2 linked regions of the Neodiprion lecontei genome follow. The main gene of each other region encodes a partner of the protein of the gene in region 2 in a complex. Links are inferred from orthologs where the notes say so. Each region holds a gene or a part of one and is shown on either strand. Other genes may lie near its edges. The genes, in order: ras-related protein Rab-21 and rab5 GDP/GTP exchange factor.

Region 1 (9,096 bases), about 4.9 Mb from region 2:
ATCTTAACGATTGTGTATCTGCGTAATGTGCGTAGAGAATAAGAGTATACTTGAATATATGTACGAAATTTTCGGCAACTTTCAACGCCGGACACATTTCTCCGTTGTGAAACGTCACGCGTCCCTGTCCTAGACTTACTTTAACGCTCCGTTATACAATTTCTATTATTTAATCTGAACGAACTAGGAAGAAACAGAATGTATTTAGGTGAAACCGCGATCGAGAGACGCGCAAGGCACGTATAAACGTGCCCCTGACACCATTACCTGATACTTGAAACTTTCATTCTCATTTTTACTGTCGCTGTTAATTCCGCAAAGTGTTACGTACGAATAAAAATAAAAAAAATATATCGAAACACTTTTACTCGACGTATGTATTGTAACGTACTTGACGGGGTTTGGCTCGTCTAATTAACGAAACGATACAGGCGTTGCAATCAGTTGAAAAACCGTTTCTCTCATTACGTTTTCGCGGATGTAATTTTTTTTACCCAGAGTTTACTGACATTTCAGTGAATCAGGAAGGAACCAAATCAGTTCCTTGGTATCAACGCAACGACGTGTGTTACATTTACGACATACGTAACAATCGTGACGCTGACTGTGGTTTGGGATAAAACGATGATAAAACAAATGCAAGAAAGTGAGAAGGGGAAAAACCCTCGTGACTGCCTCCGATTGATATTACACGGTGAAATTTGAGATGTCAGGGTGAAGTACGCGACTGCATGTAATTCCCTAACAAGAAAGTGGAGCAGTGGAACGAGCATGACAGATGGAGAGACGCAACGACGTGCGCGAGAAGGAGGCAGGCATGGCGCGTGGCACCGCACGGCGGTCGCCATAACCAAACCGCCTCGCATCGGTCCTGAGATGTACCGACAAGGAGAGAGACATGCGTGCGATAGTCGTTTGTTTGCGGATTACATACACGTCGACGCGCGCCAATTGTCAACATAACATGGTCAGAAATTGAGGCAACGGAACTTCAGTTGGGGATAAACAAACCCTGCCGCTGTCAAACTGGAATTCACTGACGTGCAAGCGTCAACGAATATCGTGTGCACGTCGGCTGAGACCCCGCCATACGAACGCCATGACAGATGAGACAGTACGCAAACAAACAAGTCCACTTGCGAAATAGAACGGCGTCCCATTTTAGGAAGGACTAAATCGAACGCTGATAAAACTCGATTGTCCAAGTAGAATAAAGGAGAAAAAGAAACAAACGAAAGTTATCTCACGATAATGACAGATATCGGCGGCATCTCGTCAGATGTCAAACGCGTGGTAGAAAAATGCGAAATATTTCACAAAATCTCATAGCGTACACTTTCGGTGAAAGTTTCGATACGTATATTAATTATTAACAACGATCGAATGGCACGGACCGGCAACCGACCGGGCAACCGGGAGAAATGCTTTTCTCAACGTTACGATCTTACCCACGCGAAAAATATTTGCTGTTAGAAAATGCTTGCTCTATGTCATGATACAGCAGGCTGGCAGTTCTACAGCGGCCGGAGACGCTGACGTTTAGTCACATATTTCTTGATAATAGAGGGATAAACGAATGTGACAATAGTTCCAAATATAAATAGCTAATTGCGCTGGCTAAATATGATAATCTCGCATTAAATCCGCCGAGATTATCTAATAAAACGCTAAAATTAGTATGACTGATTTGCTTACCTTTTCAATACAGGTGACGGCCGGATTCAAGAATTCTTCAGCGCAATCTTAACGCGCAGGCTTTGGTTCACGCTGTCAGTCAAACTGGCAGCTTTTAGATGACAAACTTTGGAAACTACTTCATGCCGGAATTCTGTGATATTTTTATTTACCGCATATCAATAGAATATTTTATAAGACAATACACACCGCGCTTCACCAAGATTTTAATTTACAAAATGTCAAGTAATCTATCTGGCTGTCAGAATTAAGCTTCCGGTTATCGCTGATTCGCTTCCTGTGCGCCATTTGAGTTTTGTTGCTAGACGAGAGTTTTCGATGTCACCGCCAGAGTGCGTGATGATTTTTGTATTATCGGCATTGAGCTGTGTTGTCAGTCGTGATGTCGAATTTTAACGTTCGAATCTTTGGCTTTATCCTACAGCACAAATATTTACTAATATTACGGCAACTTGCGGGCAAAATTTGTTAATTTTTCTTTCTCCAATATCACCATTTCATCCACAGAGAAATAATGCATAGATACGGTACAAATCTCGTCGACATACGAGATGATTTAAAATTTGGGGTTACCGCAAATGCGCACGTTCATTCGAAACAGGTTTTCCCCGTCATTGCAGTATATTTTGAGCTGGTATTTTTATCCAGCGTAGAGTAAATAGTTGATACTTTTGCTCAATGCTACTCAATTGGGATTATATTCTCGCACGACGAAATAATTAATTATGTAAACACTACGAACCACCAAATGGAGAACGTCATATTTCGACAGTTTATAACAATTTCCACCGGTTGATTCAGGTTAAATGAGGACAAGTCCGTTTCTTTGAAAAATAAGAAAGCTCATACATTTAAATCTTTGAGAATAGAGTGAACATTAGCAACAATTAAGAGGATTACAAAGACTCATTGATATACTCCTTGTTAATTCGATTTGGCAGCTCGGAGAGCTAAGACGCCAAAGGCAATGACATTTGAATGCATCAAGATTACTTTCGTCTCTTAAATGTTTCCCGAAGAATGATCGCAAGGCATTAAATGCATTGTAAAGCAAAGATTGTTCCGAGTTTCTAGTCGATTCAAAACGATCGAGATATTGCAAATTGTTCTAAGCGTATAACGAACTGATCTCGTTAGAAACCATTTGTTGACGTCGGATTGACGTATCGTATGCGGCATACAGTGTTTATTTTTTCCTAGAGGTCGTAGACCACCTGCCATCTACTGTAGATGATTCTAACCTTCGTATCAAGAAGATAACGCACGACGATCGCGCATGCGTTTAAATCTGTTGGTGAGGAAAATTTCTTGTAATGATACAGGTGAGAACAGCTGATCTCTCGCACTTGACGTTCCGTGGACAACCGCGAGAGAGATAGTAGTTGTAAAAAAAAAAAGTAAAATTACGTACATACATACGATATACATCGATTACTTCTACTGTCAGAGAGCTAGGTTTATAGAATATAATGACAAATACTAGTTTGTACGTTAATGATAAACGCGTAAAATAGTATTTTCATAAAAGCTTATTCTCATTTCTTTTCTCAATTATAATATTATTTTACTTTTGTAAACAATGGCCAGTTCCTCACCGACTGCGAATAATTCAATCAATGGTTACAATTTTAAAGTTGTTTTGCTCGGCGAAGGTTGTGTAGGAAAAACATCTGTCGCTCTACGATATGTCGAGGACAAATTCAACGACAAACATATCACCACTCTCCAGGTATTTGAATCGTCATTTTTTTCTCTTATCCTATTTGGAACGATACGTGCATACATAAATCATTCAACTTGTAACCTATTTACTTATTCGCAGGCTTCGTTTCTTAATAAGAAACTCAACATTAATGGAAAAAGAGTGAATTTGGCTATCTGGGATACGGCAGGACAAGAAAAGTTTCATGCCTTAGGACCCATCTACTATCGTATGTCAAACGGCGCAATTCTGGTATACGATATTACCGACGAGGACTCGTTTCAAAAGGTTCGAAGAGTGAATGAACACCAGCTTGTAACATATATTATTTTATTTTATTTTATTCACAATTAATTAAAAATAAATCAGTAAACTGCGTATTGAGTCAGAAGTTTGGATCAATAATCATCAAGATGCGATGTTATAATTGGATACGTAAATTTGCAATAAGCTTTGCTCCGAAACTTGTTCAATTGAGGATACGATTTAGATACCGCGATATTATGGCTGACAATACTTATTTTCTCAACTTTATGTGAAAAATATGGAGTTGTTTGATTTGAACAACTTGAATACTTTGAAAATAACTGGATTAAATTTTACTTGTTTCTTGTGCAAGCTGTTTCGCATCGGCATCGATAAAAGTCAAGTAAAGTTTCTTCGACTTTACACCAAAGAAATAAACGATGTTTATGTTGCTTTAACTCCATCATCCATTCTTACAAATTTGTGATTTACCACTTTTCATTTATTATCAATTTCTCAATTGCAAAACTACTCTCATTAGTTAAGTTGCCTTTCATTTTTATCAATCTCCTATATCAGTTCTACACTTCGTTATATTACTTTATTTTTCGTTCAAAAGTGTAGAATCATTATTTGATTCCTCATTTTTATATTTATATATTTATAGGTAAAAAACTGGGTGAAGGAGTTGAAAAAGATGCTTGGCAGTGAAATTTGCCTTGTCATAGCTGGTAACAAATTAGATCTTGAGAGGGATCGGAATGTAACACAGGAAGAAGCAGAAGAGTGAGTTTTGTTCTAGTAAAGTATATGTCAGTTCACATTATAAACTTCATAAAAGTATTTGGACATCACTTTCAGAAGACCTAAAAACTGTACAAAATCAACAAAGAAAGAAAACGAGTATGAAAATATCTGTCGACGAACCTGAATCTTTTCTCTGATAAGATAATCTTGTTTTTTATTTTTTCAATCATCAATCTGCTTTGTTTAACCCAGCATACAAAGTTATAATTAGACTAGACTGAAATAAGAAGAAAAAACAAACAATTACATGCGAAATAAATGCACAAGCACAGATATTCATTATTACATTTCATTCTTATCAAGGAAGCAAGCTACCAATCTACTATTTTATGTTTAACAGAATCAATTTATACGAATTATTTCTTCAGATATGCCAGACAAGTTGGTGCGGTCCACTTTCACACATCAGCAAAACAGAATCAAAACATTGAAGAAATGTTTCTAGATTTAACCCGCCGCATGATGGTACATGCAGATATGGTTGAGCAAAAATCTACTCTTACACGGTCAAATAGCACGCGACGGAATGTCGTGGTTGTCGAAGACGAAGCTGAGCAAGAGAGACCAGCTTCAAGCTCCTGCTGTGGAGGATTTTCGCAAAGTTCATCATAGGTCGATGACGTGGCTTAAGTTTTTAGGGGGTTTGAGTTATACATAATTGTATATAGCAGTTGTTTTACAATTATAAAACACGAAAATTTGCAAATTTCAATGCGATCAAGTATACTGTAGTCGTTTTGAACACATACAGCCTGTGGATCAAGTACGAATTAGGTGGATATACTTACAGGTATATGAAAACGTAATTGTATTCAATCAGATCAGTGTCTCATTTACCAGTCGATCATAAAAATTTAACAATAATTGAAATTGAAAATAAATAAACTTCTTATTTATCTGTATTTCTTTGATAGTTTGAAATTTTTACCTGGAACAAGCCATTTAGAAATGTCAACAGTAAAATCAATAGCTTACCTGCCTACCGAAGACGAGAATACAGGAGATATTTTACACTATATGTTAAGCGATATACCGTATCATATGCACGTGGTTTACCAAGAGTAGAACAGAGTGAACATTCAGCAATATTTTAGCTGTATCACTTCCACGTGTACTTGCATATATTCAAATATTTAATCATTAATATTTTAGCTGATGCTGTAACAACTTTACATTACTCGCAGTGTTAAAATGTGAAAGAAAGTTATATATCATGCTTATTTCAGTTTTAATCCCATGTAAATTAGTTAGCTTCACATGGATTATTATAGGAATAACTTGTTACTAACGACTTTGAAACTTTTTTGCTATGGGAATTTTCAAAAACCTCGTGAAAGTTTTTAATAAAAGTGTTTTGTACGCAAGATAAATTTGTGTGAATCTACCATTGAAATTCCAAAACATTTTAGACAGCATAATGTTCCTATTGAATGCAAGCTCATATATATATCTAATAGATATAAGTATAATTAATGTATAACGTTTGAACGAAGAAAAAAATCAAATTTCAAATTACTGACGTATTTAGATTGTAGAAAAAGATTTATAAGGACGCCTATTTCGCGTTACTGTTCCAGACTGTGTAAATTCATAATTGTCTTTGACATGATGTTACATACCACTGTATCGAATTACCGAACTCGTACTAGGGACTTATAAATGATGTTATTATATAAATTACACTTGTTGTTTTGCGTTGCCATATACTGTATTTGTAAATATATTGCTGTCTATTGGCATATATTTACATGAATAAATTTAATATAATTTACGACCTTACTGTTTTTTCACTAGTATAAGTCTTCGAGACAGTGTCAAATAGTGATGACGATATTTTCTTAGTTTAGGCGAGATTCTGTATAAATTAAAGAAATGAGAATTCGATTGGTATAATTTGATTTTAGTACTATATTGTTTTTATTCAGATCCGTATGATGTTCGAAAGATAAAGATACAATGTGCTATTCTATCACAGGTACATGGATCGTGCATACATTTAGTTATCCTAACATTTACAGCTCTTGGTCAGAACTATAATGCAATGTAACATATAATGATATTTCGCTGAATAATGTGTTGACGTGTAAATTATGTATTATCCGGAATGACGAGTCAACCTATGATTGATGTATTTTTTTTTCATGTTCGCAAGTGGCAATTGTGCAATTACGTAATGCACATCATATAGGAATGTCTGTGGCAAGTTATTTATATTTTCATAAATTGTGTGCATGTCTCATATTGTTAGATGTGCGACAGAACAAATTCGTTTCAGACAGTTACAAGTTATTTAAAAAAAAAAAATTTTTTTTGTTCTTTTCTAAACACATTTGTTGACACTCTCTTTGAATATATTTGCAATTTCTTTCAAAACAAATTAATCGCGTATGCATAAGATTTTTTTAAACTTACAATTCAGTTTCTAACCAATGGTTATTTAAATTCTTGTCTGTTTAACGCTGTTGAAATACAGTTTTTGCGTCGCCAATTACAATTTTTATACTCAATTCGTTCAAGATTTCTGTATTTTGTTATATAGGTATATCTATTATCGATTGCTGAAAATTAATACTTGAGAAGTTCAAATTATGACATAAACTACGAAATATGATAAATGAAAATTACTATATCTCAGTATCTCACTTATTCGTCGTTCTTATGCCAGCATAAAACAATATTGAATAATTTGCTAATTCGATTATCATAATATTTTTGTCACTGTTCGTTATTATATGTATTTATATTTTATTCTTATACGCTTTTTTCAATACTTTATTTAAAAATCAGTACTATATTTATATGTATATATATCTATTCTATGAATTTATACACCATGAGATTATTTACAATTTATAAATTACAGTACGGAATGTGTCGAAGATTGTCTAACATTGTGTGACAAAATTCTTTGAGAATAATAAATTACTATTCTATGTAATATAATTGAAGAGAGACTTGGCTTTGGTTACCATTTACTGGAATATTGGTAAAACTGTAATGGGTATTACGCAAGAAATTCAATAAACCTAAGCAAACGCACATCTCAAATTTTTTAATTCGAATATAAATGATTATCTTTTACAATACTATACTGGTTGAAAAACTTTGTTACCAAGAAATATTCAATCTTCGATAATCATTCCGTAAAAAATATAATAATTACTAATTTTACCCATTTAATTAGACTATTTTGTGAGTATACCTACAGTTTACACTGATTACATTATATGACGTTCTCACCTATCTTTGGTATACAGTGGTAATTTTTTTCCTTTTTTTTTGTATAAATATTATTCACATGTTAAAAACTGCCATACAACACTGATCAGCTTGCTCACATTCATTCTACGCAACACTCATGACGATCGCAGCATATTTGGCTAGAAAAAAAGTTGTGCATTCATTATTGTGAAATACTTTACGAAGAAAACCTGTGTATGTTCTACGATTTTTGCTTTTCAGCAAGTATATAAATTAGTAAAAAATATCAACTATGCTTTACACGACAAAGACAAAAAGGAAAATATTTTATAGAACATTACACAAGAACGTGTGTTCAAACGTGAGGCTTTTTTGTAGATATTAAAAATTGGATTTGCGTGTACTTGCTACTGTGATTTATATAAAAATACTATATGCTCATTATTGAATTGTACTCATATGTAGGATCCATCTTGTGAATATGAAAATGCTTCGAGCTATATTCGATAAATAAGAGAAATATTATTCAAAATTAAATAACTGACCTGCAGTGTCCCTTCCAAGTCTGTAAATTAAAATTTTTAAAATCGAGGCAAATATAAAAGTTTTACCGATGCAATGATTTATGCAAAAATGAAAGCCGTGGAGCAAGTGTCTAATGTGCTCAAATTAGATTTTTTTTTTTTTTAATTAATTGACACATGTACTTTCATATTCCCCACAAATCCAATTTGAACAATCTGATTAGTGTTTCAGTCTGTTATTTGAAACGAGTACCAATTTTGTTAACGTTTTATAGGCCTTTAATGAATCAACACTTTTAGTAATCTAACCCAGTCTTAAATGATGAATATTTTATCTTGGTACATGAACAAAAAGTCGGTAAACTGATTGATCGGACCAATTGCTGAAAGTGACATTCCTCGAGAAGATGGAGCTCTTACTAAATTAGGACCGAATACTACTGCCAGATTATTCGATGTCATCTTGTTAAGATCACTTCTGTCCATTACCTACGAGTGTTAAAAAATATGAGTATTTGTTCCATGGCCACGACGTTCCATGAATTACAGTGAGAGAAACAATGAGAATTAAACTCACCCTGGATAAAAATTGAACGATATATTTCAAAAGACGATAGTTAGCTTCAGGTAGTTTTTCAAGAATCAATATCTTAACTTTCCGAGGTCGTTCGTCTTTTGATAAACCTTTGGAATGATGAAAAAAGATGAATGGTAAATAGGATCTAAATAGATGTTAATGTAGAACATCATCGGTTCAGAGTTGTTTTTACTTACTTTGAAACTGGGTTATTTCATCGTAAAGTTCGTAGGTCATAAGTGGTTCGTCCAGTTCTCGAAGGAATGTTTTTAGAAGTACAGCCGCTATGTGAGGATCACCTCGAAAATCTACAGGCAATCCCAAGTTACAACGGTTTTGAAGTT
Region 2 (8,422 bases):
CCACTATGCATAAGTGGAGAAATATTAATTCCTGATTTAAGTAGAAACTTGTTACGATAAAAAAATTCAGTTGCAGTCAGGCACATTGTAGTTCTTGTGATGAAATTTACATCAATAGATGTAAACGTAATTAAGTGCAATGTATAATCATAGAAGCAAGTCTACCTATATTTTAGCCGACTGTAGCAGTTTCTAGGTACAAAATAGTGTGTGACATTATTTAATTAATAAGCGCAACTTTAGGAAATGCTTGTTGCACATAATTCCAGCAGTGTTTGGATCAAATATAAATGAGACAGGAGTATTTATATGTACGATAAGACCTTCGTCTCATTTATATTTCATTTGGCATCCCCAGTTCGTTTTGCCCAGTAAACTTGTGTAGATATAGAAAGTAGATAGACGCGAATGGGCATATTCTATACTCGACGAAGGTATAGAAAATACTATAGATTTTTAATGTAAAAGTAGTAACTTTCTACGAAAGTGTAAAACAAGGCTTATTGTACTTTATTCGTTACGTTATGTAATTATTTTTCTATTCACCGACTACTGTTAAAAATGAATCAATATCTTGTAATACTATTTATAATTAGATAGATTGATAACCTAATGAAACAGGGTAGATTTTAGTGATAATGCGATTACATAGATCTTGTAGGTATTTTTTTTAGTATGAACTCTAGATATTCAAATATGTTATTGCAGAATACTGAAATTCTTCGCTCGTTTTATAACTCTGTAACACTTTATTGTGTCTTTATTACACTTTGAGGATATTATAGATATGGAATTTTCATTCATTACTCTGCAATAATATAGTATACTTTTTCACTGATTGCAATACTTTTGTAACTTTTATATAAGATTCAGTTTTACTTACCGGCAATCAGTTGGTAGTTGAGATGAGAATAAATATGAATATATAAAAATTATAACACACTAACACTAACACTAACACTGTCTACACTCTCTGGCATAAAGACTTATTTCTTATGTATCAACGATGATATTATGTTTGATAATTGTAAATATTGTAAGTTCACCAATTAAAAAATAAACTCAAACTGCATTAAAAATATTTGACACACTTTAACGGGCTTTGTGAAAAAATGTGAAACTTATACCGAAAACAGAACTTTAACTGATATTAGGTAATAAAATGGTTCTATAACAGAATTTCTCCAAGTACAAACTTATTTGTATCATTGGCTTTCAATAATTAAGAAAATCTTTGCGTGAGGTAGCACATATTTTTCACATTCCAAACACACTTCTTTAGGTTTCTGTACAATCATAGTTTAACAAATAGTTTATATATATTTAACTTTTGTCACGTTTATAATCCGGTAACTAGCTGCCCGTAAGAGATTAAAAAATTTGAATTCTAATCAGACTTTGAGACCAAATATGTAATTGATATCAGTTAGTCAATGTGATGTACAAAAAAAAAAAACACGATTTGCACAATTCACTAATTCAATGTTGCTATATATCATACTAACAATAAATTCTGCCGAAATTCTGTATTCCAACCACATGTATTGACTTTATACTTCATTTTTGGTTTACACCACTATAAATAAATTTCATACGATACGTGAATTTATTTGTACAGGCCTTAAAATTATTTTCATACACTCTTTGTATACCCATGTATAGTGAATATAAGTTTCGATTAAAAGTGCCAATTACAATAACCAATATTAGTTTTCGTTATAATTCTAATGAAAATATATTTTTTACCTCATATCAAGACAAATTCATTTAAATATATATTATTGTTAGTCAGGATGGACCTATCGGATTAAAAGAAAAATGATGACTGACACAATTCGCTCACTTAGTCTAGTGCAGTATCTCTGAAATCAAATTGAGTGTGAGTGACAAAGGTTGATCGTTAAACCGATATGAAAATAATTAATGTTTACAAATGACTACCACCTAGTTGATTATAATTGAATTTATTAAAGTACGGCATTAGCAATTATATATTCATATAAGTTTGGAATATCAGTTTTTTTGACATGCACTGAAATTGTGATGTATATAAAAATGTGGTCAACTCACAAATTGGAGAAAATGATGACAACTGTAGCTACAAAATGGTAAATATTTATATCTAAATTCAGATTATAGCCTACTTACATGATGATCTACTCCAGAATGTATACTGATCACTTTTGATGCAGTGTCTTGGTAACGTAGCACCTACTTGTCATTTTTTCACTTTTCACTGTAGCAGAATCTATAAGATAATTGTAAGCATAGCAGTGCAAATATCCTAGCTTGAAACCTATAGTTTTTAATCCAGCATCTGATTTGTAAGTTATATTAGAAATATTGCTGATTTCATTGGATCTTGAATAACAAAGCGATAATCTCAGACGTTACCTCGCCATCGATACAAGACACGATCCAATCCTTCGAAGCTGACTAGATAAGATGCAAGTTACATCTTAATTCCTGCATACTACTGTATACATACCTATATGTATGTGTATATATACCTATATGTATGTGTATATATATCTATATGTATGGTATGTATGAATGTGCATATCTAGATATATATGTTATGGTTGAAATTAATCAAGTGTATGTTTAAATTGCAAATCGTTCAAATGTTGTGAAAGTAGCCAGAATAGTTATCTGCCTCCAAGTCCGAAGTGTTGTGAGAAAGATCACCAGTGTTGCACGGGATCGTGGGAATGTTAGAACCTTGGATTGAGAATCCATGGTAATCTTCACGTAGAGAACAAACTGGTTTTAGAGGCGATGGTAAATTAGTGCCCGATGCTTGCGATTCGTCTAGCAAACTATCAGAGGCGTCTCTGTCTTGTAGATACGATTCTTCTGCTGTAAGATCGCATTGTGTATCCAAGCTAATTAGGCTGGTATCGTCATCCCCTTTACTTCCATGCAAACCACCATCTGAGTCAAAGGCTGGGAAATCAAAAGTTGGAGATGGTGTTATGCAATCCTCGATCGAAGGTCCGTTGTAATCACCAACGTGAGATGTCAGTGTTTCATTTGTTTCGTCGTTCAGGGTTTGAGGGTAAATCTGTGGATGAATACTGCGATAAAGTAATGTTGTGAGGATTAAAAAGTATTCGCAAATAGAAAGTAAGTTCACAGAAATTTTCAGCATTTCATATTACAGATATAAGTTGATATTAAATTTGGAACAAATGATTTTACATCAATATTTTGTACTTGTGGTATAATTGGTGGTGGTAGCTGGTAGCTCTCTGCATCAACGCAGTCAAGATTAGTCGGTATCCTTTGACTCGGCGTGATAATAAGGGGAGTGCGAGTTATCGCAGCGTCAACTTCCGCCTCAACTTTTTCTGGGAATTGTTGCATTTTTTTCTTAAGCTCATCGGATTCTGCTATGATTTCCAAATTTTTCGCTTTCAATTCATCCAGCAGTGTTATGTGTTCGCACATCAGGTGTATACTCTAAATTATAAAAATCTGTAAGCTATGAGAGTGTTGGAATTATTCTTCAACGATGTATTCATCATTACCTCGCACATAGTGAGAGCAGATTCCCATGTGCTCGCTGGAACGCGTGCTCCTGACATATATGCATCGAAATCTTTCTGAGGCATGTTTAATGACTCGGCAGTAAGATTTTCTATGAAGGATACTGCGCAACACTGGAACAAAATTGGGAATAAAATTTCTTGAAGGCATGGATTTCAGCAAATTTTATATTCATTGCTTTGAGTTGTGCGGTTCTTCGTAGCCCAGAGTAGAACTAATACCAAATTTGTGAAGTAGTAACCTCCTTCACCAGTCATTAATCTGCTAGCATTACAGAATCGGGTGATGAAATTTATGTTGCTTTTCAATCTTGCAGGATTAGCTTTCAGCACAATGAATATAAGCGCCGGTAAAAATTCATCGGCTGAAGCTGGACCCCCAACAGATTGTTGCAGTAGTACAAATATATTTCTACAACAATGAACAACACAGGCAAGCTTCTCTTGCGGTGCTTTTACAGAGTCCATATTTAATAAATCTGAAACAATTGTTACTATGTTACATTTATGTGAAATTAATCAGACCGATTGAGCTTTGAAGTTTGATTGTTTTACCTGTTATTGAGGTGTAAACAAGCTCTCTCACGTCAGAACTAGTTTCGTGGATTCGACACTCCAGATTCTTTCCGCTCACCCAATTCAACTGCCGTATTCTAAAATTTCCTGATTGATTAGAAAAATTCTCGAGCTTGATTCATAAATCAAATTAATCTTGACCAGATTTGATTGGTTTAGAAAGATGTTACTGACTGAGCATATTTTTCACCTTATCTGTTTCCATCCATTCTCTGAATTGGAAAACTGAGATGTTACCTGTTTTGAATAGCAAGGTCCTTGTCCTCATCTGTAGTTGATGGCGGGCAGAAAAGTATCCTATAGAGTAAGGTCATAGTGTATCTTTCGATGTAGTCTAGTAGTCGATCTTTTGTTTCTGGAGAAACATCTAAAAATTAATAATAATAGAGATTACTGCAGTTCTGTGAATATCCTACGCATGAATAACCAAGAGTGCAATATTACCTGCATAATTGGGACTGTTTTCCATTCGCTTGGCAAATACTTGATAGAAGTTCTGAGTTAGTTCGGATAGCTCCTCAACGCTCTTAATATCCTTCATTTGTAAGATGTTGTTTACGAAGGAATGAATACACTTTCGTACATCTTTCTCAGCCGGAGTCTTAGCGATCTGTACCAGAAGGTCACGGGTCTCCGATTTCACTTTGTCAAGTTCAGGATTATCCTTAACCAGCTCCTGCCATATCTCGCTAAAACCTTGAGCTTAAATAAGGAATATTTCCATCATGACGTTTCACATCTTATCAAAATGAATGACAGGAAAGAATGGAAACACCAAAACTTTACCAGTTGTCTAGAAGTATATTATTATGGTTGTTATTATATAATTAGGTTTCTGCTTTAGTTGAAAGATCGATGAAACGTAATTAAGAATGATGTATCATAGAATGAAAATAAAATGTGAGACATTAAAATAAGGACATACTTTTCGTTGCGGTCTTGCGAAAGACTGACAGCTTTAATAGTTTAGTTTTCTTTTCTTGCTGTCGCTTCTTTTCTTCAAATTTGTAAAAACCGTGCACGGTAGTCTTAGAGCTTGAATCACTGAAAAAATGTAAATATATAACGCAGTTCGAACAATTATTCGTTACCAGTAATATTGACCTAATCAATAAAGGGCTTATCAATAGAAAGTAGTGTCGGTAGTTATACCTGGAATGATTCATTTGATTGATAGCATGTTACAATGTGTCAGTGAATTGTTGCACTGGTATAATAAATACCTTTCGTGAATGCGGGCGTGTTCTCTTTGAGCCCGTTGCTTTTGCAAATGTTCTCTGTGACATTTGCTACAGTAGCCTTGCCATTCTTCGTTTCCAAAATATCCACAACCATTTTTGCACTTTAAATCGGCCTCGTCAATGCGGAGAGTCGGCGTCTTGATCGAGTACATGTCGATAATTGGAGAGTAAAACTCCAACTGGGTGCAGTAAGTTTTCAAATTTGGTTACTTAACGCATTTGCGTAATAAGCGAAATGCAAACAATTGAACCCCTACCTACGAGGAGAACATAACCTCTTCACGTGAGCTGTCAAAAATCGACTGTCCGTCACAAGCACGTCAGAAGAGTCTAACTACGGCAAAGATAAGTTGAGAAATGACCAACGCCCCCAAAAACCTGGTTTACGAAATTAAACTGAACTACGTCTCTGCGTGGCGCAGTGTGAATAGAGTAGTAGCGCGACATTATCTGAAGCGTGCGTCGCGGTCGGTAACAGAATATCGATTTCGGCACGCTGCAGATAATGTCGTGCTATTAATTTATTTACATTGCTCCGAGCAAGGCCGTAGTTTGGTTTAATTTTGTCAAACGTCTTTTGGAGGCGCTGGTCATCTCGCAACTCATCTTTGATTCTTCTTCTGCTTCCTTGTGAAACTCATGTGAAGTGAGTCAATATTCATGAATGGTGTACAAAGTTGACCACCCTCTCTGTGTAAAATGCAGTTGAAGTTCTATGTCAATTCTAAGCACTGAACTATACCAACAAGAAGTCAATACTTGAAACGCCATCTGCAATAAGAGCGACATTCGCGTTTCCATAGCAACCGCGTCATACGAAATTTCGAGCGAAGGCTTGACGTTTCAATGAACGTTGTGGTCAGTGTATAAGGAATCCTTAATTAATTACAATGCAAATGGCAAGAAATGATCAACATACAGCATCCAAGGGTTGTCACTAAGCCCCCGATTAGTAACTTTGCCATGTCCGATAACGGAATGGCACATGGCTTGCCCATGCAGAGGTGCAATTCCGCAGAAGACCGCGTACGGAATTCAAACCCGTCAAGATTCTGCGAAACTAACGGAGGACTGGATTCCAAAAAAGGCGAATACCTGAAAGAAGCAGAGACCCATCCCAATCAGATTAATGCTATGATTGAAAACATTGGATACGACTTAAAAAAGCTGCAAACTACTAGTGATTTTAATCAGAATGTCATCGAGCCAAATTCTTGCTCCTTCGATCAGCTTTGCTCGATGATCAATGATTTGGAAAAAAATTTATCTGGAAATGAAGCACAACTGAATATCGATTCAAATACTACTGGAAGTTTTGTCAATAACGAAGGGGGCCACTTTTATGGAAACGATCAAGACTATTCCATCAATCAGGCAAGTATCGATTGCTCGAGAAAATATCTTGTATTTCCAGAATTTAGAGCGCTTAAACACTGCTGCTAGCTTTTACACCTTTTGATCACAATTTCTTCCCCAATTAGCTTCAACCGGAGAAAGATTACTCCAATCAATCATGCGGGTCTTCTCTGTCAACTTACGAGGACATCATGTCCCTGTTAGGGATTTTGAACCACGAAGGTAAAATATGCGACTCTGACAGTGATGGTATAAGGTATGACGGGAATACTGCAACTCTTTAGCTGTTGAATTTTTACATTTCTTTCTAGGATACCTAGAAGATGTTCCAAACAATCGAGCTTACGCGCATTCAAAGATTATTGAAGCAACACTGAATAGTCGATCTATTCCATACTGTAACAATCAAGGGTAAGATTGGTCATCAAAAATTTGTATGAATTTGTGTTTTTAGCATATGCATTGTATAGTATTTCATATGGAGGCAGTGCTATTTGCGAGTGCAAAGATTTTCGCACCGAGGTGTGATTTGTGTGAATCCCGTTGGTAATGTTTTATGTTTCTTGCAGAATTCATCCCGCACAAACCCATATACCTGAAACGATAAAGGACGATTTAGCGACTCTTAGGTTGCAATTGGAAGAACGGGATGAGACTTTAAAAATTTTAAAAAATGAATTAAAATCACAAAGGCATTCTGCTTGCGAGAAGCTAGAATTGCAAAAAAAGCAGCATTGCACTGAGCTGCAGACTCAGAAGACAAAATATCAGACGACGATAAAGAGGCATCAGAAATTTATCGAGCAAATAATATCAGATAAGAAAAATTTGACTGAGAAATGCAACTCCTTGACTGAGCATATCAAAGAAATGGAAGTGAAATATCATCGGGAGTTAAAAGTTGTGGCTGATAGACACGCGGTGGAACTCCGACGAGCTAGAGAACTTTGTGCCGCTTCTGAAAAGATCAGACGCGAACGTTGGCTAGAAGCAAAAACTTCTAAAATAAAGGTGCTAATCAGATGTACGCTTGTGGAACAACTAACTTTTATCTCACAATCAATATATAAACATGTGTTGGTAAAAAAATGTTAGTATCGAATCTCTAGTCAAATTGTTCCATTTTACTTGTTCAGGAAATGACTGTGAAGGGGCTAGAGCCAGAACTGCGAAGTATGGTAGAGCAGCATCAGCAGGAGCTTCAAGAAATACGCAGTGCTCACATCAAAGAGCTTCAGGATACCGAGCTGCGGACAATTCGCCGCTCAAATCAACAGCTGGAGCAGTTGCGTCTTGAGCTAACTGCGAGCCATGAAAAGTTATTGAGTAGCGAAAAAGATATTCTCAGAACAAGGTACAATGTATGTTCAGACATCACGCAGCTTACTTAGATACCAATAAAAGATTCCGTCTGATAACATTCACAGGTATCAGGAGAAACTAGAACAGCAAGAGAATTTATTTCAAGAACAGCGGCGCAAACTGCTGGACGATCTTGAACGTGAAAAAAATCTGCTAGCTCAAGAACATAAACGACTCAATGCTGAGAGAGATGCTGCGATAAGTCAAGCACGTTCACAATTCAATGTACGTTCAGGTCATACTGAAACTAATAATGACTTATACCAAGCAACGATGCATGAGAATAATAACGGGAACCCAATCGTTTACAGGAAAAAATCAATACTTTAATACGACAGC

Evidence for each region.
Region 1: the proteins of rab5 GDP/GTP exchange factor (region 2) and ras-related protein Rab-21 are in contact, whole or in part, in a crystal structure (PDB 2OT3), measured with the Homo sapiens proteins. The link is inferred for Neodiprion lecontei from reciprocal best matches to the Homo sapiens genes RABGEF1 and RAB21. Residues at the interface, in NP_001273991.1 of Homo sapiens: Leu253, Cys254, Lys296, Phe299, Asn300, Lys303, Pro309, Ala310, Ser311, Ala312, Asp313, Phe315, Leu316, Pro317, Ile320, Leu347, Met348, Thr349, Gly350, Glu351, Gly353, Tyr354, Tyr355, Thr357, Asn358, Cys360, Cys361, Ala364, Phe365, Ser373; in NP_055814.1 of Homo sapiens: Ser19, Phe20, Lys21, Gly26, Glu27, Gly28, Lys32, Thr33, Leu37, Thr50, Thr51, Leu52, Gln53, Ala54, Ser55, Phe56, Ala71, Trp73, Asp74, Thr75, Ala76, Gly77, Gln78, Arg80, Phe81, Leu84, Ile87, Tyr88, Asp91.

The regions. Positions count from the first base shown.
Region 1 is NC_060261.1:7,272,398-7,281,493, forward strand, and holds ras-related protein Rab-21, read left to right. Parts: upstream 1-3,005; 5' UTR 3,006-3,274; coding exon 3,275-3,424; intron 3,425-3,517; coding exon 3,518-3,685; intron 3,686-4,310; coding exon 4,311-4,429; intron 4,430-4,818; coding exon 4,819-5,062; 3' UTR 5,063-7,825; downstream 7,826-9,096. Other genes in the region: rho GTPase-activating protein 1, read right to left, coding at 8,491-8,664, 8,753-8,859, 8,950-9,096. UniProt on the Homo sapiens protein: The small GTPases Rab are key regulators of intracellular membrane trafficking, from the formation of transport vesicles to their fusion with membranes.
Region 2 is NC_060261.1:2,397,359-2,405,780, reverse strand, and holds rab5 GDP/GTP exchange factor, read right to left. Parts: upstream 5,738-8,422; 5' UTR 5,623-5,737; exon of another isoform or gene 5,545-5,622; 5' UTR 5,518-5,544; coding exon 5,348-5,517; intron 5,169-5,347; coding exon 5,050-5,168; intron 4,827-5,049; coding exon 4,569-4,826; intron 4,492-4,568; coding exon 4,362-4,491; intron 4,202-4,361; coding exon 4,104-4,201; intron 4,028-4,103; coding exon 3,771-4,027; intron 3,663-3,770; coding exon 3,531-3,662; intron 3,463-3,530; coding exon 3,202-3,462; intron 3,065-3,201; coding exon 2,621-3,064; 3' UTR 1,523-2,620; downstream 1-1,522. Other genes in the region: centrosomal protein of 131 kDa, read left to right, coding at 6,272-6,739, 6,847-6,943, 7,033-7,132, 7,291-7,732, 7,858-8,075, 8,149-8,308, 8,395-8,422. UniProt on the Homo sapiens protein: Rab effector protein acting as linker between gamma-adaptin, RAB4A or RAB5A. Involved in endocytic membrane fusion and membrane trafficking of recycling endosomes. Stimulates nucleotide exchange on RAB5A. Can act as a ubiquitin ligase.